Linked DNA regions of Oryctolagus cuniculus. The protein of the gene in region 7 purifies or fractionates together with the protein of the main gene of each other region. This does not show direct contact. Links are inferred from orthologs where the notes say so. Each region holds a gene or a part of one and is shown on either strand. Other genes may lie near its edges.

Region 1 (3,500 bases), on a different chromosome or scaffold from region 7:
TCAAATATAAACAAAATAAATCTTCAATAAGAGATCCTATTTCTTTTTCTTTTTGGGTACCAAAGTTGGCCTTTTTTATTTATTTGAAAGGCATAGTTAGAGAGAGGGAAAAACAGAGAAAGAGACACTTCTATCTGCTGATTCACTCCCCAGGCAACAGCTGTGGCTGGGCCAAGCTGAAGCCAGGAGCTTCTTCAGGGTCTCTTCCATGTAGGTTTAGGGACTCAAGCACTTGGGTTGTCCTCCACTGCTTTCCCAGGCACATTAACAGGGAGCTGGATGGAAACTGGAGCATCTGGGACTCAAAATAGGATTCATATGGGATGCTGGTGCTGTAGGTGGAGGCTTTACCTGCAATGCCACAATGGTGGCCCCTCAAAAAAAAAAAAAATATTATGTTAACATTTTTAGTGTTACTCTGGGTAACAGACAGTTCAGCAGAGGATGCACTGTGCACACAAAAGCACTCTTGCTAGTCCTGCCTGGATCACGTGCTTACAAGCATTCTTGCTGGCGTTGTCCATGGCTGTCATTCTTGCACTCTGCTCACTGGTGGTAGACTCCTTCAGAGAGTAGTAGATGATGTTGGCCAGATTGTATTCTTGGTAATTTTGTAGCACATCAGCATCAACATCATCATAGATGCTCATGCTCTCTGTTAAAACAAGTGATAAATTTCTTTGAAGCCATACAGAACAAAAACTGATTTTTATCAAAACAGCTTGCTAGTGCCCAACCCTTTATAATAACCGAAAAAGAATCTATTTACATGATATAAATAGCATATTTTCAGCAAAATATAATGTACAAAGCATTTGATATATGAGCTCAGAGGCTTAACTTAAAAATAAGACCCTGACATTGAAAATAACAATGAATTTCACAGTTATGAAATCCAGTGCAGAGCATCTAGCAGTCCCCATCACAAGGCTAGCAAGCGCTCAATAAATGTTCAAAAAAATTAATGGAATGATTGAAAGCAGAATAGTGGAATTAAATAATTCTGATTTAGTCATTTGATTATTAGAGAAACATGAATGTGTCACTCTGGAAAGTGAGAAAGGAAGACATTTTTCTAAGCATATGAAAGTTTGTGAGAACTATAAGCTGTTATGAATTTTAGTTTTATTTAGGAGTACATTTCTAAATCCATTCATTAGGATAAAGTAATGCTATAGTATTGTATTTTATAAAATTTCAGATAGTACTATCATATCTTTTATTTTAGGTATTAAGAAAAAATAGCTAATTAAAAATGTTTCATTGGCTGAGCAAGGCATCCCAACTTCAAAAATTCTAAAATGTAAGGGTTTTGCCTTAGAAAAACAAAATTGGTTCTAGAATTTCTAGGGTGCTTCACTGGACAGTGATGACTTTACTCAAAAGATAAAATCAATGGGTTAACATTACGTTAGTTGTCAAGACTGTTCAAATATGTACACGATTTTGGTTGTATTATACTTGAGTCCCACACATAGATAAGTCAATTTAATCTTTGAAGACAGAAAACCCATCTAATGAGGACCCCAATAGATAAATATTTCCCTCTCAATTCTACATGCAAAAATACTTGTCATATAAAAAATACTTACCAGCACTTGCAATGGTATTAAGGGAAAAAATTGGCTTTTCTTCTGTCTTATAGGAGATTACAGACCTAGAAATGACAAAAGCATAAGTAAATCTCAAAATAACTTTTAAGCAGACATTTAGTTATTTTAAAATATGGACAAAAACATCTCTGATTTCTGTGTTTTTCTTACTTAAATCGATTAAAGATGATAGACCCTTCATCAAACTCATATCCAGAGTTTAATAATTCAAGAGCAATGACTGACGCATCTCCAAAAGTAGGGGGCTTTCTTCCAACTTCTTTGAATGTCACTAGAAACTGGTCAGAATGAGTCCTGTAGGAAAATCCAGAGATCACTTAAAATCATTTAAAAAAAACTCAGAGAACAAGTTAAAAACATTTTCATGCATCAAGTTTTCTTGGGGGGCAGAGATGTGGGTAGTGGTGCTGACTCCCTAAATTGTTCCACACATTATCAGGATTGTTCCCTTCCTTTGGCACCTGTAATTGCTCCTGGCTTTTGGCCCAAGCTGTTGCAGCCATTTGGGGAGTAAATCAGCAGATGGAAGACCTCTCTTTCCCTCTCTTTCTAGTTCTGACTTTCAAATAAATAAATAAATATGTCTTGAAAAAAAAAAAAAAAGATAAATTTGGGAGCAGATGTTCAGTCTTGAATTAAAGACTCCCATTTCTTACATGTGAGTACCTGGCTTTGATTCTTGTCTCTGGTTCCTGATTATAGCTTCCTGCCAATGTAGAACCCTGAGAAGCAGTGATGATACTCAAGTAATTGGGTTCCTGCCACACACATGGGAGACCTGGGCTGCATTATTCCCACCTGCTGGTCTCAGTCCCAGCCTACCCTTAGTGGCTGTGGGCATCTGGGTAGTAAACAAGTAGATGGGCATACTTTTTCTGTCTCCCTGATACTTACAAATAAATAAATAAAAATATGAGCTTGTTTGGGTGCAGAAATTCTTGAAACCTATAGTTTGACCATATTATACATTTTCCATGAACTTTTAGGACACCCCTCATATTTCTCTTCTTCCAATTCTGATGAACTACTGATTATTTCTAACATCTCCAGGCTGTGATAGCTTCTCATATTCCCTTTTTGGCTTAGTGCCAATAGCTTTTGCTAGTCCCATCATATTCAACTTACGGTTTTTATCAGAGAAGTAACATACAGTATACACATACAGTAAAAAATAAAAACAAAACAAAAAACTCTGGGAGTATACAAAACATGGTAACCAAAAAGGACACTTTGCTTAAACAAACTATTAAAGAACCTTCCATTTGTTCATACTTGTACCCCTTTGAACATAAAATGAAATTACCTATGAAGTATGCCCCTGATTTTGTCACCAACTCCAACCAGCATAACTTCTTTTCCAGCTGCTGTGAGTGCAGCCACCTCACTTTTCATCTGTTTGGCGACAGAGGAATGAATAGCACCACAAAGCCCTCGATCTGAGGACACACCAATAAGGAGGTGTTTCTTCTTGTCTTCAGGTGCCTTAATATCAGCTTTTTCATACAGAGCTTAACAAACACACACACACACAAAAAGCAAGAATTTGTAAAATGTACTTTACAAATAGCAACAACACTTAGTTGACATAAGATTTGCCTATTTTCAAAATACGCATTTAAATTTAGGTGACACATGAGTACAGTCAGAAGTGTCTGTACTTATTCATTGTACAACCAAAGCTGAAAAGCATAAACATTTAAATCTCTGTATAACAAAGGTTCCTAAGGGTCAATTATTAGCCAAGTTTATCTCAAATACTGAGTAAAATAAATCTCTACTACATTTAAATTACTTGTAAGAGGCCAGAAGCATAGAGATTCCCACTTATATTGATATCAGACCTCTAAAGAATGCAAACAAAAAATGTAGGTAGGCAAGTAGGCAAGT
Region 2 (3,500 bases), about 64 Mb from region 7:
AATTTTTTTTTTTTTTTTTTTTTTTGACAGGCAGAGTGGACAGTGAGAGAGACAAAGAGAAAGGTCTTGCTTTGCCGTTGGTTCACCCTCCAATGGCTGACGCGGCCGGCGCACTGCGGCCAGCGCACCGCGCTGATCCGATGGCAGGAGCCAGGTGCTTCTCCTGGTCTCCCATGGGGTGCAGGACCCAAGTACTTTGGCTATCCTCCACTGCACTTCCCTGGCCACAGCAGAGAGCTGGCCTGGAAGAGGGGCAACCGGGACAGAATCAGGCGCCCCGACCAGGACTAGAACCCGGTGTGCCGGCGCTGCAAGGCGGAGGATTAGCCTAGTGAGCCACAGCGCCGGCCTCGGTATAAATCTTAAAATCAGTTTATCTACTCTCCACCAAAGTCTGTGGTATTTTGATTGGGATTACATTGAACTTTTAGAGAAATTTGGGAAGAAATGACATCTTAATGATTTTAATTTTCTGATCTAGGAACATGGCATATGTCTCTATTTACTTAGTTCACAATACTCTCTTATCCTTTTCATACCTGAAGATTCTTTAGGTCACTTCTCATTTCTAATACTGGTCATGTGTGTCTTTTTTTTTTTTTTAATTTATTTATTTGAAAGCCCAAGATACACAGAGAGAGAAGGAGAGGCGGGGAGAGAGAGGTCTTCCATCCACTGGTTCCCTCCCCAGTTGGCCGCAACGGCTGGAAATGCGCCAATCCAAAGCCAGGAGCCAGGAGCCAGGAGCTTCTTCCCGGTCTCCCACATGGGTGCAGGGGGTCAAGGACTTGGGCCATCTTCTACTGCTTTCCCAGGCCATAGCAGAGAGCTAGATTGGAAGTGGAGTAGCTGAGACTTGAACCAGCACCCATATGGGATGCTGACACTGCAGGCGGCGGCTTTACCTGATACTCCACAGTGCTGGTTCCATGTGTGTCTTTTTTCTTCATGGGTATCTATTTTTCTTCTCAAGAACTAGTTTTTGTTTGTTTATTTTTTTAAAGATTTATTTTTCACTTGAGAGTCAAGAGTTACACAGAGAGAGGAGAGGCAGAAAGAGAGAGAGAGGTCTTCCATCTGATGGTTCACTCCCCAATTGGCCACAAAGGCTGGAACTGTGCCGATCCAAAGCCAGGAGCCAGGAGCTTCTTCTGGGTCTCCCTCGTGGGTGCAGGGGCCCAAGGACTTGGGACACCTTCTACTGCTATCCCAGGCCATAGCCAAGAGCTGGATCAGAAGTGGAGCAGCTGGGACTAGAACTGGAGCCCATATGGGATGCCGGCACTTCAGGCCAGGGCGTTAACCTGCTGCGCCACAGCGCTGGCACCAAGAACTAGTTTTTCAGTTTCACTGCTTTTTCTTTATTATGTCTTCTTTTTGCTTATGTTGGGTTTAATTTGCTGTTATCTTTCTTAAAGTAAAAGCTTAGGTTGTTGGTTTGAAAATTGAAGTATTTAGTATTCTAATGTCTCTCTAAGCACTACTTAACTATATCCCTAACACTTTCAAAGATGTAGAGATAGATTCTAACTTGTGGAAAACAGATAATAATGTAAATAATTCCTATCTAAGAAATGCGGACTGTGACTCACAGAATACAGTATGAATATACCCTATGAATATTGACCAGTCTTACATCCACCTCTAAATTAACTTCAGCATTTGCTATTTGATTATGAATGTGTGGCAGTTTGAGTTCTCTTTTGAACTAATTGTAGATAGTATATACTGGTTTTTCATTAATTAATGAGATAAACAAAAGTTCTGATATGCTCATCATTATATGAGTCATGATTTTATTTTTCTAAAACTTATCTTTAAATAGTATCTATTCTAGAAGTGAATGAATTCTCTGACTGACATTTAGGAAATACTAATTTCTGCAACCACTATAATTTTCTACTAAAGTTAGTGAAAAATTTTCGATAGTTTTGAAAGTTCACAGAAACTTTGGCCAAGCAATTATGTTTTCCATGGTACCTTCAAATAAAACTGTGACGAATAATAGTTTTCAACAAAGCTTATTATTTATATTATAAAAACCAAAAGAAATATCTAACATTTTTCAAAATTTTATAATTTAAGAATACATGTGGAGAAATGTACAAGAAAGGTAGTCACATAAATAGAAGCAATCAAGTCTTTATCATTAATACAACAAGGTCTAATTTAGCCTTTTTACCTTTTATTTCCAATAAGCATAATGACCATGTTGGAATTGGAATGCTGGCGGGCATCTTCTAACCATGTTGTCAAGTGGTTGAATGTATCTCTCCTAAACAAAAGATTAACAATTACTTTTTTGGAAATACTTCCAGTAGTACACAGTTAATAGGATACATTCCATTCAAGTAATCATTTTTTGCTTTATCCACTTATATAATGAAAAGCACATTTCAAGCACACTACCTGGGTTTAGAGTTCTACTGATTACATTCAGTTCAATGGAGCCATACTTTAAAAATTTCCAATCCATAAATGTTACCAAATTGATCAATATGGAGGTTGCTTATTGAAATCCAAAAAAAGAATTGCAGATTTCTATAGTAAATTTAAATTTGATTCAGGATACAGAGTTTTAAAAACAAGTAGCCAAGGCAATATAAAGACAGAGCTACACTTTTATTACTGGTAACCATATTTATTTAGAAAAATTTTCAAGCTCTCACCTTGTAATATCATACACTAGTAAAGCCCCTGCTGCACCTCTGTAATATGACCTTGTGATGGAACGAAAGGACTCTTGACCTGCCTGTGAAGAAAAAAAAAAAAAAAACAAAACAAAAAAACAAAAAAAACAAGTTGAGAGCTTCCTTTCACACACTGTCCTCTATATTTTCAGATTTTTCATCTATAGAATATGGGAGGTAGGGAAGGAGTCCATAAAGGGACAGGGGAAAACTTAAGTTCAGCAGTCACATAATACCACTATTGCTCAAGTCAACCAGAAGCACATGCTGCTGCTCACTCCTGCAACACTCCCCCACCCCACCCCTTGCCAACCAAGACCCCTAACCCTTTTTGGCAATCCCTGACAACCCAATTTACTGAATGGCTTCACAATACATGAATCATTATTAGAGCACAGAATGGACTCCTAGCAACTAAGCTCTGAAGACAAATTTGAAAGGAAGCAAATAACCCAGAGCCTTACATTTGAATTCAATAACCCACTCCCTGGGGCAGCTGTTGACACTAGAATAAATAAAGCCCATTGTAAATAAATGATGAATGACATCTTTACGCCCACCATCTGCTGGTGTAAAGGTTGTTGGAAGGCCAAGGATGCAGATTTTATCAGTTATATCATAAACTGCAGCAAGCTTTCAACAGTCATCAGATGGAATTCTTTGAGCAATCATTTTATTATGAAAAACAGAAAATGGTTCTGAATTTAATTTATATAATTTTTTTCCATACAATCAATTTTCTCTGTATTTGATATATAATGCTTGTCAAAAGGCCACAGAATGTGAAAGTCATCTTTATATCCACTTGTG
Region 3 (3,500 bases), on a different chromosome or scaffold from region 7:
AAAGCAGCCACGAGGCTTCCCAGGTCTCCCTGCCGCAGGTGAACCCCCTCTGCCCTGCACTTGCTGGGGCTGTCAGGAAAGGAGCCAGAGGAGGTTTCAAGATGCTACTGATGCCCAGGGTGACCACCAGGCCACACCGGACACACAGTACCTTCAACGCAGTTGGTGGAAAAGAAGGCGATGTTCCTCGTCTCCAGCGGGTTTTCATTTGTAAAATCCGGAGACCTGGTCTGGGGTTCTGATTCACCAGTGAGTGAGGAGTTATCCACCTAGAGGAGAGAAAAACAGGTGCTGTGCGAATCCCGCGGCCTCACCACAGGCTGCTGCGTGCCTCTACCGCACCCATCCCAGGGCTACCTTGCAGCCGTTCGCCGATATGATTCTGAGGTCAGCAGGGATGCGGTCTCCCCCCTTCACTTCCACCAGGTCCCCGACCACCACATCCTCCGCATTTATGCTCATCTTCTCACCATTTCGAATCACCAGGGCTTGCTTTGGAAGGCAAATAAAATAATGTTTACAATGTTAGATCAGAAAAAAAAAAAAAAGACATCAACAAGGAGAGGATGGTGCCCTAACAAGAAAGCCATCCAGTGACAAATGATCTGTAACACCAATCATCTGAATTACAAACTTGATCCACACACGTTCCAGGAGGTGGCTCAAGCTCTCAGTGTGCTAACGGCACGGCACACTGGCTGACCCCTGGGGCCACCCCGTGGGGGCAGGACAAACTCCAGGTACCTGAGGGACCATGTTTTTGAAGGACTCCATGATCTTTGAGCTTTTCGCTTCCTGATAGTAGGAGAAGCAGCCAGTGATGATCACGACCGCGGCCAGCACCACGCCAAGGTACAGCTGCGAGAGAAGACGCAAAGTTCAGGCTGGCCGGCTCGGGAAGAACTGGGAACATCCAGTGAATTTTTGACTGAATCAAAGCAGACTTTTAAGGAGCGATGAAGTCATCAGAAGCCATCTTCACGGGGATCTTTCTAGGGCCCTTGTTGTGTGTGTGTGTGTGTGTGTGCGGGGGGGTCAGAAATGGACTCAATCCCCCAGACATTTGGCCACTAAACTTGGTAAGACTTTTTCTTTTTTTTTAGGGCTATGTAGGTATTTATAATATTGCTCTCTGGCCACACAAAATGGTCAACTTAAAAACTATGGACTTATCGAGTTTCAAGTCCCACCTACAGCTGCCTTGGCAAGGCCAGACAACTGACTGCCCGGTCTTCAGATGGCCTGTGGGCTGTATGTCCCCAGCCCCTGCACTAGATGAATCCACTTCCCCTACTCAATTAAAAAGACATTTTCCAAACAATTTGCAACTGTCTGAAGAAAGGCTACCAAGCCCATCAGGTCTGACATTGCATGCTGTGTTCTGCCCTCCCTGGTGGGGCAGCCAGCCCTGGGCCAGGGGCTGGGCAAAGCCACCTGGGCACGTCTGGCCTGCAGGTGCACCCACGGTGTGTGCAGGGCAGACAGACCTGCAGTGCAGAAGGAGGGCTGGGCCTGGAAGCCACCTGCTGCACAGTGCTTGCCAGTGTTAAAAACCCCGAAGTAGCTAGTGGTGAAGGAAAGTTAAGTGGACAGCAAACGGCCAAGAGGATGCCCTAGGGGTGCTGACTAAGCCCCGCGTGGAACTGAGGAACTCACATTATCATTGTCAAAATCCTCTTCTGTAGCAGCTAGGATGCCGTAAGCCAGGAAGCAGAGAATCGCTCCGATCCACAGCAGCATGGAGAAGCCCCCGAACAGCTGCCGACAGAACTTCACCCATTCAGGAGTGGTGGGAGGGGGAGTGAGGGCGTTGGGGCCGTCTCGGGCCAGGATCTCAGCAGCTCGAGCAGTTGTCAAGCCCTGAGAAGCAGAGGGGACGTAAATTAGACAGTGTGCACCAGCACACGCCAGTGGTGCCCTCGCTGGACAGCTAGGACACCCGACTCGGGGGAGAACAATTTCCCAACCCAGAGTGCTGGGCAACACCCGGCCTGTGATGCTGACACCCACATCAAAACTCTTCCTGAATTCATCCGCAGACAAATTTGAATCCAGCCGCGTATACCCACCCCCCTGCCCCCAGGTTTCAGATCAGGGGATTCGTGCCAAATTGCATTTTTAATCAACAACAAAAGCCTATTAACCGATTGAGATTGATTTCAGTTTTGTAAATGAAGAGCTTTGCATTTCCTGTGCATTGATTTTTGTCAGGGAGGTTGGGAAAAACCCTCTACAGACATGAGAAGAGAAAAAAGTTCCGTAGGAATCCAACCTCCCATTGGGCCAGCAGCCAAGTTTTAAGTATAGGACCTTATTCTTTGGGTAGCAATTAAAACACTGGTGAGCAGGAAAGGGTTGGTACCCACGCCAATGTTAGCCAACCCCCGGTTCACCTGTCAACTGCAAAGTGTCTGTGGGAAAAATCCCTCTCTGCTGAAACCCTGCTGTTTCCTAACAGACCCTAAAACCCAGGCTCACGACAGCAACAGATTTGGCTCCTGCAAAGAGGGGGAAATATGATTCTTTCTGTACTACCCAAGTACCAAATAATAAATAAAAATATATTTTTGCCTAAAAGTGCTTACATATATATTTTGTGATTGTGTTCTTTTTAATACTGGAGCTGGCCAGGGAGTGTGGGGAGAGCAGAAATGAAGGTGGGGAGGCCAGTCAGAAAGGAGAGAATTCTCTCAGCTCCCCCTCTGCCTCCAGCTCAGCCCTCAGCAGAGTTAACAGAACCGTAACAGACCCAGACATGACCATGTGCCAGGTGCGGAACCCAATGCTGTCCCTCCGTCAACCTGCTTCTTCCATGACACCCCTCTCCCGGTATTACCAGCCCCATTTTACAAGTATGGAAACAGCCAAGCAGCTGACCCGAGTCTCTGGGCATGCACCTCCCAAGCCCCTCCGTGAGATGACGCACGTGCCGTGCCGAGAGCTCACCAGGAACGGTGGGCGGAGCAGCTCCCAGCGCACGGTTCTAGGGGTGCCGAAGCCTCCCCTCGGAGCCCAGGGTACCCAAGCCGGCACTCCGCCCCACCGCCTCCTGAACAATGGCTGCTTACTAGCTTGGCATCCTCACCATTCCTCAGACTCTTCTTAGTGACCATCTAAAAATAAACGCCACCCCCTAGACGACTCACTTTTATAGTGTTTGTAGCAAGCTCGCTATCAAAATCCCCCAGCACATATCTGACTGAAAGGTTCTGTACCCAAGCTTCAAGTCACTGATGGGACCGCCAAGGTTCTGACACAGTGCAGTGAGCTAGCTGGGAAAAGTTCAAAATTGGAACTGCCGACTCAGCACAACACAGGAGGAAAAACAAAGGGGAGATCTGCGACCAGGAGGTCGGGGGATGAGCACGGCTTCACTGAAGCCAACTGCAGAACCTGCTGCTCCCACTTAACTGGTTCTCACCTACCGGGAAGCAGGAAAAACAACCTCTCTCAGAAAGGCTCGGGAAAACAAGATAGGAGCATGCGAGCGCCCAAGCCCT
Region 4 (4,025 bases), on a different chromosome or scaffold from region 7:
CAAATAAATAAAATACAACTGAAACAGCAGAAAGCGAGCGCTTTCCGGGTGTACCTGCTGGCGGGGATGGGGGAACCCGTTCTCTTAGCCGAGGAAGAATCCTGAAGGCAGAGGCGTGGCCGGCCAGGCAGCAGCAGAAGGGGCAGGCAGCCCAGGGGAGGAACGGGTGGACCCGCGCCCGCCACCCACCCAGGGAAGCCAATGCCGTGCGGCTACACAGGGACCGCAGCTCATCTGCACCCAGACTGCGGACTGTGCGGCGCTCCTCCCTCCTCAGCCACAGGTGAGGGGTGCAGGAGTGACGAAGGAGGCATCCGCCCCAGGTGAGGGGTCCAAGAGTGATGGAGGAGGCACCCGCCCCAGGGGAGGGGTGCAGGAGTGATGGAGGGGGCATCCGCCCCAGGGGAGGGGTGCAGGAGTGATGGAGGAGGCATCCGCCCCAGGGGAGGGGTGCAGGAGTGACAGAGGGGGCACCCGCCCCAGGGGAGGGGTGCAGGAGTGATGGAGGAGGCATCCGCCCCAGGGGAGGGGTGCAGGAGTGACAGAGGGGGCACCCGCCCCAGGGGAGGGGTGTAGGAGTGACAGAGGGGGCATCCGCCCCAGGGGAGGGGTGCAGGAGTGACGGAGGGGGCACCCGCCCCAGGTTCCCCGGCTCAGCGCTGTCCCGCGGGGAGCCCACGCAACCCCGGGCACAGGACGGCCTCCTGTCCAGTACTGGGCCTGGGCGGGATCCCGCGGGGTAAAACTCGGGGCGCTTCCCCGACTCCTGGCCCTCCCCAGGCCGCGCTCGCACGCATGCGCCGACGCCTAACTTCCACCCCGACTCCACGGCACCTGGGCGCGCGCGCGGCCTGCGGCCCTCGTCTGGGTCGTGGGGGGTCCCAGCGCCGTCCCCAGCAGGGGTGCGGCAGGAACGTGCGCGTCTGAGCGCGCACCCTAGCCCCCGAGCCCTGCCCGGGGTCCCCGCTACGCCGCGCCGCCCCCGGGGTCCCGTGGCCCGCCCGGAGTCACGTGGCCCGCCCCGGCCTCCGCAGCCTCCGCCCGCCTGTCCGGCGCCCGCGTACGTGCGTGTGTGCGCGTGCGCGGAGCGCCCGTAGCCCCCACCACCACCACCGTGCGCGCCCCGCCCCCGGGGCACCGCCCTGCGTGCGCGCGCCCGGCACGCGCGCCCGGCCGGTCTTATAGGGGCCGTAGCCGGCAGCGGGCACGGCGCTCGGTGGACGGCGGACGGCGGGGACATGGCGGCTGTGCTGTTCGCGCTGCTGGCGCTCGCGCTGCTGCGCGCCGGGGGCGCCTCTGCGGCAGGTGGGCGCCGCTCGGGGGCTGCGGGCGGGGGCTACGAGCCGGGGCGGGGGGGCTACGAGCCGCCGCCGCCCCGGGGGTCCCGGCCCGGGCCCTCGTCGGGAGGGCGGCCACCCTGCAGAGCAGGGCCCCGGGTCTCGGGGGCCGCCGTCCCCCTCCACGGTGCACGCGGCCGGGGCTGACCCCCGCGTGGGACGCCGCTCGTGGCCCTCGGCTGCAGTCCGCGGCCGCTGCCCGGGCAGGCTGGGCCCCGGGATTATCATTCCTGCGGGGATTTGGCCGGCGGCGCGCCCGCGTTTGCGGGGTCTGCGCGGGCGTGCGGGCCCCCTCCTCCTCTGCCTGTTGGGGGTGGGTCTCCAAGGTCACCGCGAGGTCGCCCAGGCCGCTGGGGGGAGCCCCGCGTGGAGCCCCAGGGCCCGGCCGGGAGCTCCCGGGCCGCTGCTGACCCACTTCGGCGGCTTCCTCTTCCCGGTCCCCGGCCTCGACCGAGCGCGGGGGGCGCGAGGGAGCCCCAGGCGGCGCCGGGTTTCCTGCGGGGCCCCCGCGGAGCGCGCTCTGGCCCTGCCGGGCTTAGTCGACCGTACCCCGGGGCCGGGGGCCGTGCGGGATCTCAGCCCTGCGCGGAGCGGCGGTGTGCGTGGGCGCACGGTGCGTGGTGGGGTGTTGCTTCCGACTTGGCTCCCGGGCGCCTTATATGGGTGTTCGGGTCTTGCCCGTGCACGCTTCTGCTCTCTGTGCGGGGCCTGGCCGCGCTGGGTTGGCCACCTCCTGTCCCCCCGGGTCGGGGCCTGGCCAGCTCTGTTCTCCAGGCGCACAGCCGCGGGCCCCCGCGGGGGTTAGCCCAGGAGGGCCGCACTCTGGCCCGCCCCGAGCAAACGCTTAACCTCTGGCCTCCGGGGGAGGCTTGGCTGAGGGTGGGGCGGCAGAGGCGAGGCCCCCAGCGGGTGGGGCCCTTCCCTCCCGAGCGGCCCCGCCTTAGGCTGGGCTTGTTTACCGAGGCCGCGCCTGGCCCCCTGCCCGCCTGGCCGCTCTCTAGTGAAGGTGACTTGAACCTGAGTTGCAGATCACGTGGGCCGAGTGGAGCTGTGGCTTTTCTGAGACTGACCCTGGGGCTGGATGTGGCGTGGACTGGGGCGGCCAGGGGCCTCACCCCAGGGAGCTGGGCCACCAGTGTCCCCCTGACGTCCAGCTGCTCTTGTCGGAGGCTGCGTCTGTCCCTTGGGGAGCGCCAGGTGGTGCAGACCTGTGGAGGGGCGGCCGGTTCCCCACCTTGGACACCGGGGCTGGGACAGCTGCGGCCAGGCTAGTACGGCCTCTCCCGGTACCTGCAGGCGGCCGGGGTGTTCGGGGGGCACCTCGGCTTCACTTCCTGCCTGACTCAGCTCTGCCAGGGCTGTGGGATTTGCAGCTAGGGGTCCTTCTGCTGGAGGCCACCTGGGCTGGTCCAGCGGCCTCCAGGCGGGCCAGGGAGGCAGGTGCCTCGTCCCCAGGGCACCTGGGGCCGGAGCGTCAGGACCCAGGGGAGGGTGGACGGGAGCCCCTGCCCGCCCCTGTCCGCCTAGGCAGTGTCCAGGACCCTCTGTTGTGTTCAAATAAGGAAGCCGATGATGGCCCGGGTGTCCGTGCCAAGAGGGCCCTGCGCCCCTCACTGTCCCCACAGCTGCCTTGTTCGCAGAGCCCAGCGCCCGTCCCGTGACCTTAGGGGCTCAGCCCTAGCTGGACATGCGTGTGCTCCCCCTGCCCTGCCTTCCGTGGGGGCAGCCCGCTCCTGTTCTGCCGTGGGGGCCTCACGCTCTCGCCCTCTCCCCGTAGCTGGCTTTGTGCGGCCCCCACTGTCGCAGGAGGGGCGGGCGGGGGGCAGCGTGGAGCTGCACTGTGAGGCCGTGGGCCGCCCGGTCCCCGAGATCCAGTGGTGGTTTGAAGGGGACGGCCCCGGCGACGGCAGCTCCCAGCTCTGGGACGGCGCCCGGCAGGGCCGCGTGCACATCCACGCTGCCTACCGCGAGCACGCGGCCAGCACCGTGTCCATCGCCCAGCTCAGCGCCGAGGACGCGGGCACCTACGAGTGCCGGGCCAGCAACGACCCCGACCGCAACCACCTGACCCGGCCGCCCAGGGTCAAGTGGGTCCGTGCCCAGGCCAGCCTGGCGGTCCTGGAACGTGAGTGGCAGAGACCTGCCTCAGTGTCCCTCTTGTGCCATCGGCTCCCACCCAGTAGAGCCCAGGCCCTCTCCTGCCCGGTTCTGTCCCTCCCACCCACCTGAGCAGTCTCTGGCCTGGATGCGGGTGGGCCCCTCGCCCCCGTCCTGTCCGCCCATGCGTCCATCGCTCCGACCCGCTCCATCCGTGCTCCCTCCCTCCGTGGGCGCCTGTCTGGCTCTTGTCCTGGTCGGTGGGGCTGGGTCTGCTCCCTGGGTCAGCCCAGGTTCAAGGCTCTCCGGACCTCCCATGGGAACGTGCTCAGCTGACCGTGAGGCCGCTGTGTCGAGCCTGGGGTAGAGCGGGGCGGGGCGGGAGGTGTGGGCGTGCTGCAGGGCTGCTCCTAGCCTAGCCTAGCCGGGAGCTGATGCCTGGGCCACACCCCCGTGCACAAGGGCCCTCCGGAGGGCACCCTCTGAGCCAGGCCTCGGCGTGGCGGAGGGCCGACCCCTCCTCTCCTGCCCCTTGCTGACCTCTCGCCGTGGTCTCCCAGCGGGCACCGTGACGACTTCTGTGCAGAGCGG
Region 5 (3,500 bases), on a different chromosome or scaffold from region 7:
GGATGTGGTTTCCAGAATTGTCCTTGGGTGTGTTGGCACAGCTCCAGCATGGAGGATGTAGAGGAGAACTGTTAGGACTGGCGTGCGGATGCATTTCCTGGGAAGGTAACCAGGGTGCTCTGGGGGACCCTAACAGCTGACAGCCACCAGCAGAAGACTGGGTCTGGGGCTGAGCAGGGGCCAGCAGTTTGAGCACACATTGCACAGGTCTATGCCCAGTTCCGTGCGTGTGTGCGGGACTCTCGGAAACCTTGGTTCTCAATAGCTGGGAGAAGCCGGGCTGACTGAGGAGAGCCGGGCCCCTGCTGCGCTGCCGCTGGCACTGCTGGCACCACTGCCACCACTGCCTTGTTTGTGTTAGCCATCTCCCTGGGCCGGCCTCCCTGGTAACCATTCACCACTGGCCCAGCCTGCTGGGGTAGGGATGTAACCCTGGGTCTTGCCCGCCCCATGGTGGCCCGTCCCTGCAGTGTCCACAGGCCCCATGTTTACCGCCAGGCGGCACACGTGCCCCCACCCCCATTTCCAGCCTCTTCCTCAGCATCCCACGAGCTCTGAGTGGGGGGTTGGGGCTTAGTCACACTTGCCTTTCTTTCTAAGCCTCTCCAGTGACTTCCGGCCATGCCGATGTGAGTCAGGCACACTGCTTCTCGCCGACTTCTGAGGTGCTTGGTAGCTCCCTCCACCTTCACAGCTCCAGCCCAGTGGGGGGCAGGCTGGTGGGCAGCCGGGGGCTGAGGCAGGGAAACCTGAGCCCTAGGCCACGAGGTCCTGGTCGCTAATTTTAGAGAGCACATGTCACTGGAAACTCTCCTCTCCTGCCAGGAATCAGCAGCCTGGTTCTCCCAGTGCCGCCAGGGGCCCCTGGGAGCCTTTCCCCACACCAGGAACCGCAGGGGCGGCTCCTGCCTTGCGGGCTGCCCTGGCCTGAGTGTGCATTCCTGAAAGGGCTCTGCCAGGGCCCTGGAGAAGCCTGGCGGGGGCCAGGAAGGTGGCTTACCTGCTCAGCCGCCCCGTGCTGCTCACTGGGAGCAGGCTGCAGGTGGAGGTGAGCAGAGCCTGCCAAGGCCTGGCGAGGGCCAGGAGAAAAAAGGTTGGGAGCAGCCGCCAAGGCTGCTGGTCTCTTGAGCCAGAACTCTGTGCTTGAAGTGCCCTGGGAAAGCAGATTTTTCTTTTTTACCTTGGGCCGTTGCACATACTCTGCCTTCCCTCTGTTGTGGGATCGGGCCCCTTCTCAAGGTATGTGGGGGGTAGGCAGCCACACTCCAACTCCTAGCCCCCATCTTCAGTGTTTGAGACCTTTCTTGATGACTGCCGAGGCATGCGTCCCTCCTCTCTTCTGCCAGCTGACATCCCATCCCACAGGTGGACTTGAGGGAAGTGCTTGGGGCCCAGCTTCTGCCACCTGTTTGCCACTGGGCTGCCTCCAACAGGCAGTGGGCACCTGTGTCCTGATTCTTCGCCTGCCCCGCTAGCCCAAGCAGACCTCAATTTGGGCACTCTTATGTAACAGATGTGTCCTGGCAGCTGCCTGTGTGACGGGTTTGAGAAGGGGGTTGGGGAGAAGTGAAACCTTTCGGTTTTGTCGGGACCTGGGGGCTGTGACCTGCTAGTTTGTAAGGAAGCATGGTGGCTCGGAGCTCAGGCTTTGGATCACAGAGACACAAGTTGGAAGTCCAGCTTTGTCCATGTCTGGCTTCTCACCCTGGACAAATTGTTTCACATTGCTCAGCCTCAGTTTCCTCTTTTGTAAGATGGGGCCTGCGATAGTAAGTGCCTTGTAAGATAGGATTTGGCCTGGCATGTGAGGGGTACCCAAATTTATTAGCTGCTCTCGGTATTTGACAGATGCTAGCCTGGCCTCACAGTGAGGAAAAGGGTGCTGAGGCTTCCATAGTACTGAACTGGAGAGTGCTGGAGTCCTGGGATCTCCTGCTGTAGCTAGGCCCTGCCCTGGGTGTCCCTTGGCTCCTGCTTCCAACCCCCCCTCCACCCCTTAGCCGCCTCACAGAGCCAAGGGTGGCTGTTTTGGAGCAGTGGCAGCAGACAGCTCCCAGGCCCCACCCTTCCCCTTCGTGTTGCCAGAGCCAGGTTGGCGGCTTCTCGCTCGGCTGCTGGCAATTCAAGAGGGCAGGTCCAGGCTGGAGGCAGGCTGGGGTAGGGAGCATCCAAGAGAAGTGCCTGCCAGCTATTTTGCTCTTTCTTTTTCTCACTTCTCCCTTTTTTTTGTAAATAATTGCAGCCTGCTTAGACGCCTGGTGACTCTCATCTCCCAGCAGGCCACTCTGCTGGCCTCCAATGAAGCCTTTAAAAAGCAGGCAGAGAGCGCCAGTGAGGCGGCCAAGAAGTACATGGAAGAGAACGACCAGCTAAAGAAGGTGAGCCCTGCCTTCCTGCCCGCTGTGGGGTGCCCGGGCAGCCATGTTATTTTGGGGCCGCAGTGGCCCTTGTCGGCCTGGGAAACCGGGGAGCAGCTGGAGAGGTGGGTGGAGGCGTAGAGTGGAGGTTCTCGGTGGGGACAGTGTGCCCACTGGAGGTGCGTGTGAAGAAGGATCCGGGGTTACTCTCACACCCTCCTCTAGCTCACCAAGGCCTGCTGGAGAGGGTGCAGGAGCCACTCCCCTCAGGCCCTCGTTCTTTGGAAGGTTGCTGCGCTCTCGGGTATCCCTCAGTGCTGGGAAGGAGGCAGGGACAGGCTGCTGGCCTATCGTAGAACCAAGCTTGGAAGGAGGGGCACAGGTTTGCTTTCATGGGTTGGGTGGAAGCAGATGAGCAAGGGTGAACGTAGGGCCCCTGGCTGCAGGGAGCTGCCCGGGCCTGGGAGAGGAAGGAGGGAAGCAGTGAGTCGCTAGTGAATGACTTGCAGAAATCTCCCAGGACGGCACGTGGAGGATTGGTACAGCGGTGCACTCCACAGGGCTGCTGGCCCTGCTGGTGAGGAAGAAGGCAGGCACGCGGCCAGCTCAGGCAGGGCGTATGGCCTGTGAGCAGCAGCAGGTGGCCCCACTGGCTTTTCCTTTCCCTCGGCGGGCAACTACACCCTGGCCTTTGCCTGGTAGCTGAGAGCAAGCCATGGCCCAGGTCTGCGTTGACATTTCTGAAGGGACAAGTGCCCAGGGCAGCTGGAGGAACTGGGGCTCGGGGGGTGGGGCAGGCTGGAGCCTCTCCCTCCCCAGTAACCCAGCCCTTGGCGTTTTTCCCAGGGAGCTGCTGTTGACAGACGCAAGTTGGACGTTGGGGACACTGAGGTGAAGCTGGAGGAAGAGAACAGGAGCCTAAAGGCTAACCTGAAGAAGCTGAAGGACGACCTGGCCAGTGCCAAGCAGAGTGAGGCTTGTTCTCGTGTGTCCGCCATCCCCAGAAGACTACAGCCTTCGTGCCCAGTGTCTTAACACCCGCACAAGCTGAGAGCTGGCTGCAAACACCCAGATGGTACCCCGCACCTCCAAGACCAGCACAGCCTAGCTCAGGCCCCGGCCAGGAGGGCCTGAGTGGTTTGA
Region 6 (3,967 bases), on a different chromosome or scaffold from region 7:
GTGCCCGTAGGGGAATGCCAGCACTGCAGGTGGCGGCTTTAACCCACTGCCCTACGGCGCCGGCCCAATAGCTAAACCTTTAACAAAGGAAGAAAAAGAAAGAAATTGGGTTGGCACCGGATTCTTCACGAGCGTCTCTTGGCCTACTGCAGGCCAGCCAGAGGCAGTTTCGAGCGCGGACATTTCTGACAGAAGGCAAGAAAGACATAAATTTATCTATGCCTTGTAACCTCTACCTCACTGGCACTTGTGAAACCTTAAACGCGTCCCTGTCACCCCAGGGAAATCTTGTAAAAACAGATTCGGATCCAATATGGGGCCTGGAGTCTGCATTTCTAACGAACTCCCCAAGGATACCCATGCTGACAAATTTGGGTTCCCAGCCCGGTGACGGAGGATGGGAGGACCCTGCACGTCCCCGAAGGGCAGGGACCGGGCCTCGACCTTGAGCACAGGGCCTGGCAGCAAGAACCTCCTTGGCTAAACTCACACCCACGGAAGGGCGAGCTCCCCTCGGTCGTCCCAGCATGCCTGTCTCAGCACGCGGCTTTCTGCTCGCGCCTGACACACACGCCTACTATTCAAAGAAAACACTTTTCTTTCCTTCACACGAACACTACATAGCTCTTATTTTCTATATAACCCCAGCCTTCCATGTAAATCCCACGGCCGCACAGCCCTTTGGGGTGCGGACTCACCGACGGGTGTCCCTGGCCCGTTCTGGGGGGTACAGCCGGGCCAGGCCTCTGCTCTCACGGATTTGCTGATCTCGTGAGGCCTTCACCAAGCGAGAAGCAATCACGCCCGGCTGTAACGCCCAGGATCCCTAGAGAAAGAAGCGCTACGGAGGAACTCCTCAAACACCTATTTCCAGGAAACCGGAAGTCCGGGTGCCCTGAGCGTAGACTTCCAGGCAAGCCGCTGTTTCATTGGACGATCCACATCGGACGAATCCAAAGTGCCAGGGGTGTGGTGATGATGGGCTATTGTAAACATTGTTAGCAAACAATTACAGAGTAGATATTCGAGTAGGTAAATGAATCAAACAAAAAAAACCTTAACCTAAATCATTTGTGTAGTTACCTTCGCAACTATGCATCTCTTTATCCTCCGTCCCGGAGGAACTGGACTGGCCCAACCTTCTCCGGGAGCAGTCGAGTGCAGTCTGTATAGAGAGTCCCCCTCGCCCAGCAAGGGGCGTGGGAACGTGTTCGCGGGGAAGGCTGGGATACTCCTGTCCTCCACCACCATCTTGCTTTCCTTTAAGCCGGCAGTGACCGCGGGTGAAAGCAATCTCGAGCCATGAAGCTATTAACCAGAGCCGGGTCCTTTTCGGTGAGCTCAGCCTGCCGGTTTGGAGAAGGGCTGGGGAGCGGTGTATCCACAGGTGGATCGGAAGCCGAGGTGCCTGCCCTTGGGCGCCTTGCCTTGGGATCCAATCTGCCCTTCATCTGAACCCTGCGAGCCCGCTAGCTTCAGGCCGGCTCGGGCGTTGGAGGCCCAGGTTGTTCTGTGAGCAGAAGAGACCTTACGCCAGAAAGCCAAAAGAGAGGGAGGAGGGGTCGAGGGCGGAGATGCAGCGACGCGGCGACGAGACGTCTGAAGGTCACTCCTGCACTTGGGTGCCCGAGGAGACTGCCAGACCCGGGGCCGGGGGAGGCGGAGAGGTCCTTGAGACCTGTCACCCACCCTTTATCTGCTGCGGCCTCTGCTCCTTGGCTTATAACTGTGCAGTGGGCTTACGCATAAACGTGTAATAGATGAGCTCATTGCAGGTGCAAGTGGAATATCTCATATCCGAAATGCTTGGGACCAGAGTTTTTCGAATTGGGGGAATATTTGCATAGACTTTACCGATCGAGCATTCTTCAGATTTCAGAGGGGGACGATTTTCGCTCTTGGTAACAAAAATGTCTGGAGACACTTTGGTGTTAACAGCCTGTGGAGAGGCTGCCTCTGGCATCTAAGAAGCCAAGGGGGGTGCTGCTGCACTTCCTGAGATGCACAGAAACAGCTCCTACAACAGGGTCATGCAGCCAGAATGCCAGGAGCACCTGGATTGAAAAGCCCGTTAGAAGATATAAAAGACCTAACGTGGCGATGGGTCCCCTGTGGGTTAAGCGGATGTACTGTGGATTGTACAATTTAGGCTGTAACTGTATCACCCTTCCTGGCGTGCCTAGACAAACCAATGATTGATAACGCTTTGAGGGCAGCCAGGTAAATTGCGGGTCGGGGGCAAAATCGCCTCCTTCCTTCCGTTTTCCACTAGAAAGAAAACCTCAAAGATTACAGTTAGAGAAGTCAAAGTAAACAAACTACAGTGAATGTGAAAGCCGTTCTTTATTTCTAATTATAGCAGTTAATTTTGTATCAGTAAGTTTATATGTATATAAACTTATATTTATATATGATATTTACATATTTTATTAAAACAGCAATTGCATGCCAGTTTCTAGGATAATTCGTTGCAGATTTGAAGGGGACAGATAGGTTCATAACCAGATCTAAGTTGGCAATGGAACTGCTCTCTCCATGTATCATAAAATTTACTTTTTGGAAAATCACAGGCCAGTCACAACTAGGCTTAACTCTACCATATCCAGCAAGAAAGTGGATGATGTCAAGGCAAAGCTAATTGTAATGTAGAATTCAGCAATACTGACAGCCAATAATAAACCAGCAGCCAGCTTAATACAGCACTGACGGCCAATGTGAACAGCACAGGGAGGCCTTGCAGCCTCTGCTGGGGGTCGGTTAGAAACTCCAGCACCCTTATGGTTGGATCTTGGGAGCACCAAGCTTTTTTGTATTTTGACTTTTTTGTTGTTCTAACATTGGTTTTCCTCCAATTGTGTGTGTGTTTTGCTATAATTATGAGAAGAAGATTTCCCAGGTTTTGAGCTTCAAAAAGCCAGGCCTTAACAATAGACTGCTATAAATCTCTTCCCGGTCTTGTATGTTCAGTTTCAGCTATTTCTACGCAGACAGTTACAAGCTTTTTATCTGCAGCTTACAGCTTTCAGGGTGTTTTACACCGCTGTGCTGTGGTCAAGGCCCCATTTGCAGGAATAAGTTGGTTTCTGAGGAATTCTTGTGCCAGGGGTAAAGGATCCATTGAGGCTTTGGATTGGTTTTTCTCCCTGTAACCTGAACCAGTGGTGCTGGAAATGGAAAATGGGCACCACCAGCCCCAAGGCCCACAGAAATCTTCACGGGTTGTGTTATCTTTTGAAAGAGCTCGGGGAAGGAGCTCTTGAAGCCCCTTCTCTGGTCTTGCCTGGGATTTTGATAGCTAAAAGGTGTTTTTTCATTTTCTGTTCTTTTAGCCAGAATCTGGTGGTGTCTTCTAAATGCACCTCTTTCATATAGGTCTGCTTTTCACTGTGGAATTAATGTTGGGGTGGGGGGGGGGGGGAGGTCCAGGGAGCGCCACAGGTGACAGCAGCTCCATGTTTATTTACCCAGCATCTCCACTAGTAACTCATGAACAGAAGTCGTAACCAGAGTGAGCTTTATGCCACTGCCTATCATTTGCCAACAAAAACTAAATGAAGTGAATGCATTTTAGATCAATTGTCTGACATTTAAGAAGATCCTTTCTCCCTGCCAGTAAATGCATGTTTATACCGAGACTCTGCAGTGGTGGAGTGACTGATTGCTAATCTCAGAATGGTATAAACATTTAGTCAAAGAAAGTTAAGACCCTTGGTTGTGAGTCTCAGCATAGTACATAACAGAATAAAGGTAGAATGGAAATATGAGGGGCTCACAAGAAGTTGGTATACTTTGTTGTTTTTTAAAGGTTGGTAAAATGATTACAGAAATGAACTCATTTCGATTGGAAAATAACACTAAAAAAGTGAGACGTGTTGAGTAATTAGGGGAAGCACTGATGCTAAAATCTAAAAAAGGGCATCAGTATGGCAACTCGGTGCTTTTTCAGAAAATTCTAAAGCACTAGAAC
Region 7 (4,201 bases):
TGGATAATTTTCCCCAGGGTCAGTAGACGACCACTTGGAGCAGGAAAAAGCAAGCTTGTACAGGGGACAAGAACGGCTCCTTCTGCCACGTAGACAAGCACCTAGGAACTGAGGCCCCAGTAACAACAAACAAGCCTGCTCTGCTGGTGGCCAAGGGCCTGGGGCAGAAAAGTGCAGGTCAGACCTTCCCCGTCTCAGGGTCCCTGAGCAAGAAGCCAGCCTGACAGAGGGGGCTGGGAACAGGAACCAGTTAGCCTGGCTTCCAAACATCACCTGTTATCCCTCAGCTTCAACCACTCACATTAGCAGCAGCCTCAGCACATAAAATACAGCATTACTCAAGCAGAAATCCTACAGCCCCCACGGCCGAGGCCAGGAAAACACAAACAGGGCAGAATCTTGATTACGAAATATTGCTGGCTGATGAGCCAAAGAAAGGAAGACCCTGTGGGTCAGGAAGGTGGGGTGTGGCTTAACACCCAAGGCCTGGATACCCTCAGATCCCTAGAGGGGCCTGGAACAAGTGCAGGAGGAACTGGAAAACATGTCTGTCCAGGAAACATCATTCCCGAACCAAGCAGTGCTCATCAGAGCACAGTCCATTCATGAATGGCCATGAGTATGTCCCGGGACTATATCGAAACCACAGAACTCAAACTCACAGGTCACAGAGGATGTTAGGCCCATCCCCAAAACCCTTTGTCACAAACAGCTTCCAGTGCCTGCAACATCACAGAAGGTCCTTGTGGAGATAAGAGACTCTTACCCAGTGTTAGGCGAGAAGGAGGAATCGAAGGTCAGCTTCAGTCCACGTGCAAGCTGAACAGAAAAGAAAACCAGCAGCGAGTTTAGTGACAAGGCAGGCCAGCAGGTGTGCGTTCACGAACCCACATCTCGGCACAGGCTGCAGTACCTGGTCTTCCACGGTGATCTCGGTGCCCAGCGTGTTGTCGGTGTTCCATTTCTCCGTAAACGTCAGCCCGTACTCAGTCCACCTGTACTTGGTTTCCAGACTGCCCGTCACTTTGGTGGTCTCAGTGTTGGCTGAGCCTGAGCTTGTAAATTCCTACAAACAAGAGATATGAGTCACAGCCTGCACCCCAGGACCCACTCCATCCCTAACCACTGGAACTGCCTTCACGCGACAACGAGATACCGGCAGTGGGGGGCAACAGCTGCCTCCCTCCCCTGTAACTCGGCACTCCCATTCCATCCCGCCTCCAGCCGAGGACAGAGAAGCAGCACCGGGCTAAGGCTGACAGAGCAGTAATTCAAGCCCAAAACTCCTTCCTTCCAACAGTGACTCCATGCACAACCTAAGGGGAACCATGGGCTGGCGCTGTGGCACAGCAGGTTGACTGTCCCCTGCAAAGCCAGCAGCCAATACGGACACCTATACAATGCTCTGCTTCTGATTCAGCTCCCTGTTAACGTGTCTGAGAAAGCAGCAGAAGATGGCCCAAGTGTTCGTGCCCCAGTCACTCAAGTGAGATCCAGATGGAGTCCTGGCTCCTGGCTTCAGCCTAGCTGCTGTAGCCATCTGGGGAGTGAACCAGCAGATGGAAGATCTCTCACTGTCACTCTGCCTTTCAAATAAATCTTTAAACAATAAATAATCAAATAAATAAAGGGGACCAGTGAGTTTTCTTAATAATTATGTAGTTAGGCACAAGTCAATTTTATAACAAGAAATCCAAGGAAAACTGGAACTACATGAGGTCTGCTGTGATGTTCTGAGTGCTACCAGCTGCTGAGTTGGGGACCCCCAGTGTGGACCCCATGACTGTGATGACCACAAACCTCCCCAATCTCAGACAGCACATTGTTCTGGCCTTGCCAGGCACACCTGGGCAGTTAAGTGGTTAACAATAAGCACACATGTTCTGTGGGAGTGAGACAACTTACCAATCCATTCTCGGACTTTGTTTTCAAATCAAGCTTTATTAAGCCAAATCCTACAGAAAGAAGACTGCAGTTAACAGGTGAAACAATGAAACCAAAAACAGCATCTCCGCCCTTCTGCCCTTTCGAAACACTCTGGGTGCTGACCCCACCTGGGCCCCACGTGGGCGTCACCTGCACTCCCCGTGGGGCTGAGAGGAAGGTGTCCCACAGCCAGCAGAGACACACCCATCGGCTTCACGCACACAGTGGGCTAAATTTAGAATCTGTACCCACAGAGCTGCTGCACCTGTGGAAGGGAAGACACTAGGGTCCACTCATCAGCAGCAAACCATAGGCCTGCCCCGACAGGGGCACAACCAGCAGAGCTCATCTCCCTCCCTGGCACAGAAGTGCCCAAGAGGCCGGCACCTGCAATGCCAGCATCCCATATGGGCACTGGTTCAAGTCCTGGCTGCTCCACTTCCAATCCAGCTCTCTGCTATGGCCTGGGAAAACAGCAGAAGGTGACCCAAATCCTTGGGGTCCTGCACCTCCATGGGAGACATGGAGGAAGCTCATGGCTTCCGCTGGTGCAGCTCCAGCTGTTGTAGCCAACTAGGGAGTGAACCAGTGGTTGGAAGACTTCTGTCTCTCTCTCTCTCTCTCTCTCTCTCTGCCTCTCCTTCTCTGTGTAACTCTGACTTTCAAATAAATAAATCTTCTTAAAAAAAAAAAAAAAAAGCGCCCAACAGCTGACCGACAGGGGTCTCCCAAACTGTTATGGGTAAAACTGCAAACATGCCTACCCAGCCTGTGAGCTGAAGACGGCCCTCTCCCAGCTCCACTCACCGTAGCCCTTGGTGAAGACATCCCTGGCAGATTTGCCAAGATCGGCATACGTGGGAGGTACAGCCATCTTCTACTGCAATAAAAGAACCGCCAGAATAAATATGCTGGTAATTATGGAAATTAGTTTACAATCAATAAAAATTATTAGCTACAATTAACAGCCAATTAAAAAAGACATTCCGGGTGCCTCACGCTCCCAGGTACAAGCAGCAGTATGCACTGTCTTGTACCTCTGTTTGCAGCTAGGGCTTGAGGCCCCAGTAAGCCCCTGCTGACGGAGGTTCGGCCACCTCTGCTGGGCTTCTCCAGGACTGAGGCAGGCCCAGGGCACAGTAGGAGCCCGTAAATATTTGCTGAATGAATTACCTGCCACAGACGCACTCCCATGAGTCAGCTTCTCGGCTGAACTGCAGAGCTCTTGCCAATAAAACCGATCATTAAGGATGGGGGCCGCTAGGACATTAAAGGTGTGGAGGAGAAATAGAGCCTTTCATGGCTGCAAGTCTTCTGCATGGTTCTGATTCTACAGCTCAACAGACACAGGTGCCAGACAAACCCAACTTCTCACACAGCTTCTGCCCTTGAGGGGAGCCCACAGGAAGGGAGCCGCATTCCTCACCAAGCAGGCCATGCCTCGTGGACAGAAATCCAGCCGCACCCTCCAGGAAATGTAACTTCAATTGGTGCTGAGGGATAGCAAGATGGGCACTTGACCCACTGTGCGGCAGTGGCTACGTGCCCCTGTGGATGCCCACATCCCATGAAGGAGTGTCCGAGAGCCAGTCCCACCTCCACTTCTAATCTAATTCCCGTTAATGAGCCTGGGAGGCAGCAGATGATGGCTCAAGTACTCAGGTTCCTGTCACTCACATGGGAGACCTGGATGGAGTTCCAAGCTCCTGGCTCTAGCATAGCCCAGCTGTGACTGGGAATTCAAACAGCAGATGGAAGATCTTTCTCTCTCTGTTTCTGTCCCTGTCTTTCCCTCCCCCGTCACTCTGCCTTTCAAATAAATAAGTTTAAAAAAAAAAAAAATAAAAAGCAATGATTCAAATAGTCCTTGTCCACACAGAACCCCTAGAAGGCAATATTCTGAGACTGTGCACACAGAATTAAAATCCCAATCCTGAAGAACGACCTGTGTGCTCTGTCCAGAGGGAGAGAGTTATTCATGAGAACAGTGCCACTTGTCACCCTTTTCCATCTCCAGAATCATTCCTCTCAATGAACCCAAAGGACAGTTCCATTCATTTTTAAAATACAGTATGCTGAAATGACCACAGTGGATGTCATACGCCCAAGTATGCATGCATAAACACACTGCAGTCACTGGTGACCAGGATCCCACTGTAAAGAGCTCAGATGACCCAGGCGTCACTATCACAACCGGAAGCTGTGACCCAGGCCTTCACTTCAGAGACATTGCAGGGAGCCCACAGGGCACCGGGTCTGCTGTACAACAAACCAC

What was found.
Region 1: the proteins of VDAC1 (region 7) and ATP5F1C fractionate together in Homo sapiens (co-fractionation; 3 studies listed by BioGRID, with this or other methods). This does not show direct contact. The link is inferred for Oryctolagus cuniculus from reciprocal best matches to the Homo sapiens genes VDAC1 and ATP5F1C.
Region 2: the proteins of VDAC1 (region 7) and RAB2A purify together in Homo sapiens (affinity purification with mass spectrometry; 3 studies listed by BioGRID and IntAct, with this or other methods). This does not show direct contact. The link is inferred for Oryctolagus cuniculus from reciprocal best matches to the Homo sapiens genes VDAC1 and RAB2A.
Region 3: the proteins of VDAC1 (region 7) and ATP1A1 fractionate together in Homo sapiens (co-fractionation; 3 studies listed by BioGRID, with this or other methods). This does not show direct contact. The link is inferred for Oryctolagus cuniculus from reciprocal best matches to the Homo sapiens genes VDAC1 and ATP1A1.
Region 4: the proteins of VDAC1 (region 7) and BSG purify together in Homo sapiens (affinity purification with mass spectrometry; 3 studies listed by BioGRID, with this or other methods). This does not show direct contact. The link is inferred for Oryctolagus cuniculus from reciprocal best matches to the Homo sapiens genes VDAC1 and BSG.
Region 5: the proteins of VDAC1 (region 7) and BCAP31 purify together in Homo sapiens (affinity purification with western blotting; 3 studies listed by BioGRID, with this or other methods). This does not show direct contact. The link is inferred for Oryctolagus cuniculus from reciprocal best matches to the Homo sapiens genes VDAC1 and BCAP31.
Region 6: the proteins of VDAC1 (region 7) and UQCRC2 fractionate together in Homo sapiens (co-fractionation; 3 studies listed by BioGRID, with this or other methods). This does not show direct contact. The link is inferred for Oryctolagus cuniculus from reciprocal best matches to the Homo sapiens genes VDAC1 and UQCRC2.

What each region holds. Positions count from the first base shown.
Region 1 is NC_091444.1:75,491,032-75,494,531, forward strand, and holds part of ATP5F1C (ATP synthase subunit gamma, mitochondrial), read right to left. Parts: intron 3,122-3,500; coding exon 2,917-3,121; intron 1,908-2,916; coding exon 1,764-1,907; intron 1,658-1,763; coding exon 1,593-1,657; intron 656-1,592; coding exon 500-655; intron 1-499.
Region 2 is NC_091437.1:85,951,610-85,955,109, reverse strand, and holds part of RAB2A (ras-related protein Rab-2A), read right to left. Parts: intron 2,753-3,500; coding exon 2,670-2,752; intron 2,276-2,669; coding exon 2,183-2,275; intron 1-2,182.
Region 3 is NC_091438.1:54,059,565-54,063,064, forward strand, and holds part of ATP1A1 (sodium/potassium-transporting ATPase subunit alpha-1), read right to left. Parts: intron 1,861-3,500; coding exon 1,657-1,860; intron 859-1,656; coding exon 745-858; intron 493-744; coding exon 358-492; intron 270-357; coding exon 152-269; intron 1-151. UniProt on the Homo sapiens protein: This is the catalytic component of the active enzyme, which catalyzes the hydrolysis of ATP coupled with the exchange of sodium and potassium ions across the plasma membrane.
Region 4 is NC_091447.1:58,340,801-58,344,825, forward strand, and holds the start of BSG (basigin precursor), read left to right. Parts: upstream 1-1,225; 5' UTR 1,226-1,238; coding exon 1,239-1,305; intron 1,306-3,114; coding exon of another isoform or gene 3,115-3,462; intron 3,463-3,994; coding exon 3,995-4,025.
Region 5 is NC_091453.1:132,057,056-132,060,555, reverse strand, and holds part of BCAP31 (B-cell receptor-associated protein 31), read left to right. Parts: intron 1-587; exon of another isoform or gene 588-772; intron 773-2,242; coding exon 2,243-2,378; intron 2,379-3,203; coding exon 3,204-3,327; intron 3,328-3,500. UniProt on the Homo sapiens protein: Functions as a chaperone protein. Is one of the most abundant endoplasmic reticulum (ER) proteins.
Region 6 is NC_091450.1:17,381,507-17,385,473, reverse strand, and holds the start of UQCRC2 (cytochrome b-c1 complex subunit 2, mitochondrial), read left to right. Parts: upstream 1-1,167; 5' UTR 1,168-1,302; coding exon 1,303-1,335; intron 1,336-3,967. UniProt on the Homo sapiens protein: Component of the ubiquinol-cytochrome c oxidoreductase, a multisubunit transmembrane complex that is part of the mitochondrial electron transport chain which drives oxidative phosphorylation.
Region 7 is NC_091437.1:22,341,559-22,345,759, forward strand, and holds the start of VDAC1 (non-selective voltage-gated ion channel VDAC1), read right to left. Parts: upstream 2,801-4,201; coding exon 2,734-2,800; intron 1,956-2,733; coding exon 1,906-1,955; intron 1,067-1,905; coding exon 914-1,066; intron 820-913; coding exon 767-819; intron 1-766. UniProt on the Homo sapiens protein: Non-selective voltage-gated ion channel that mediates the transport of anions and cations through the mitochondrion outer membrane and plasma membrane.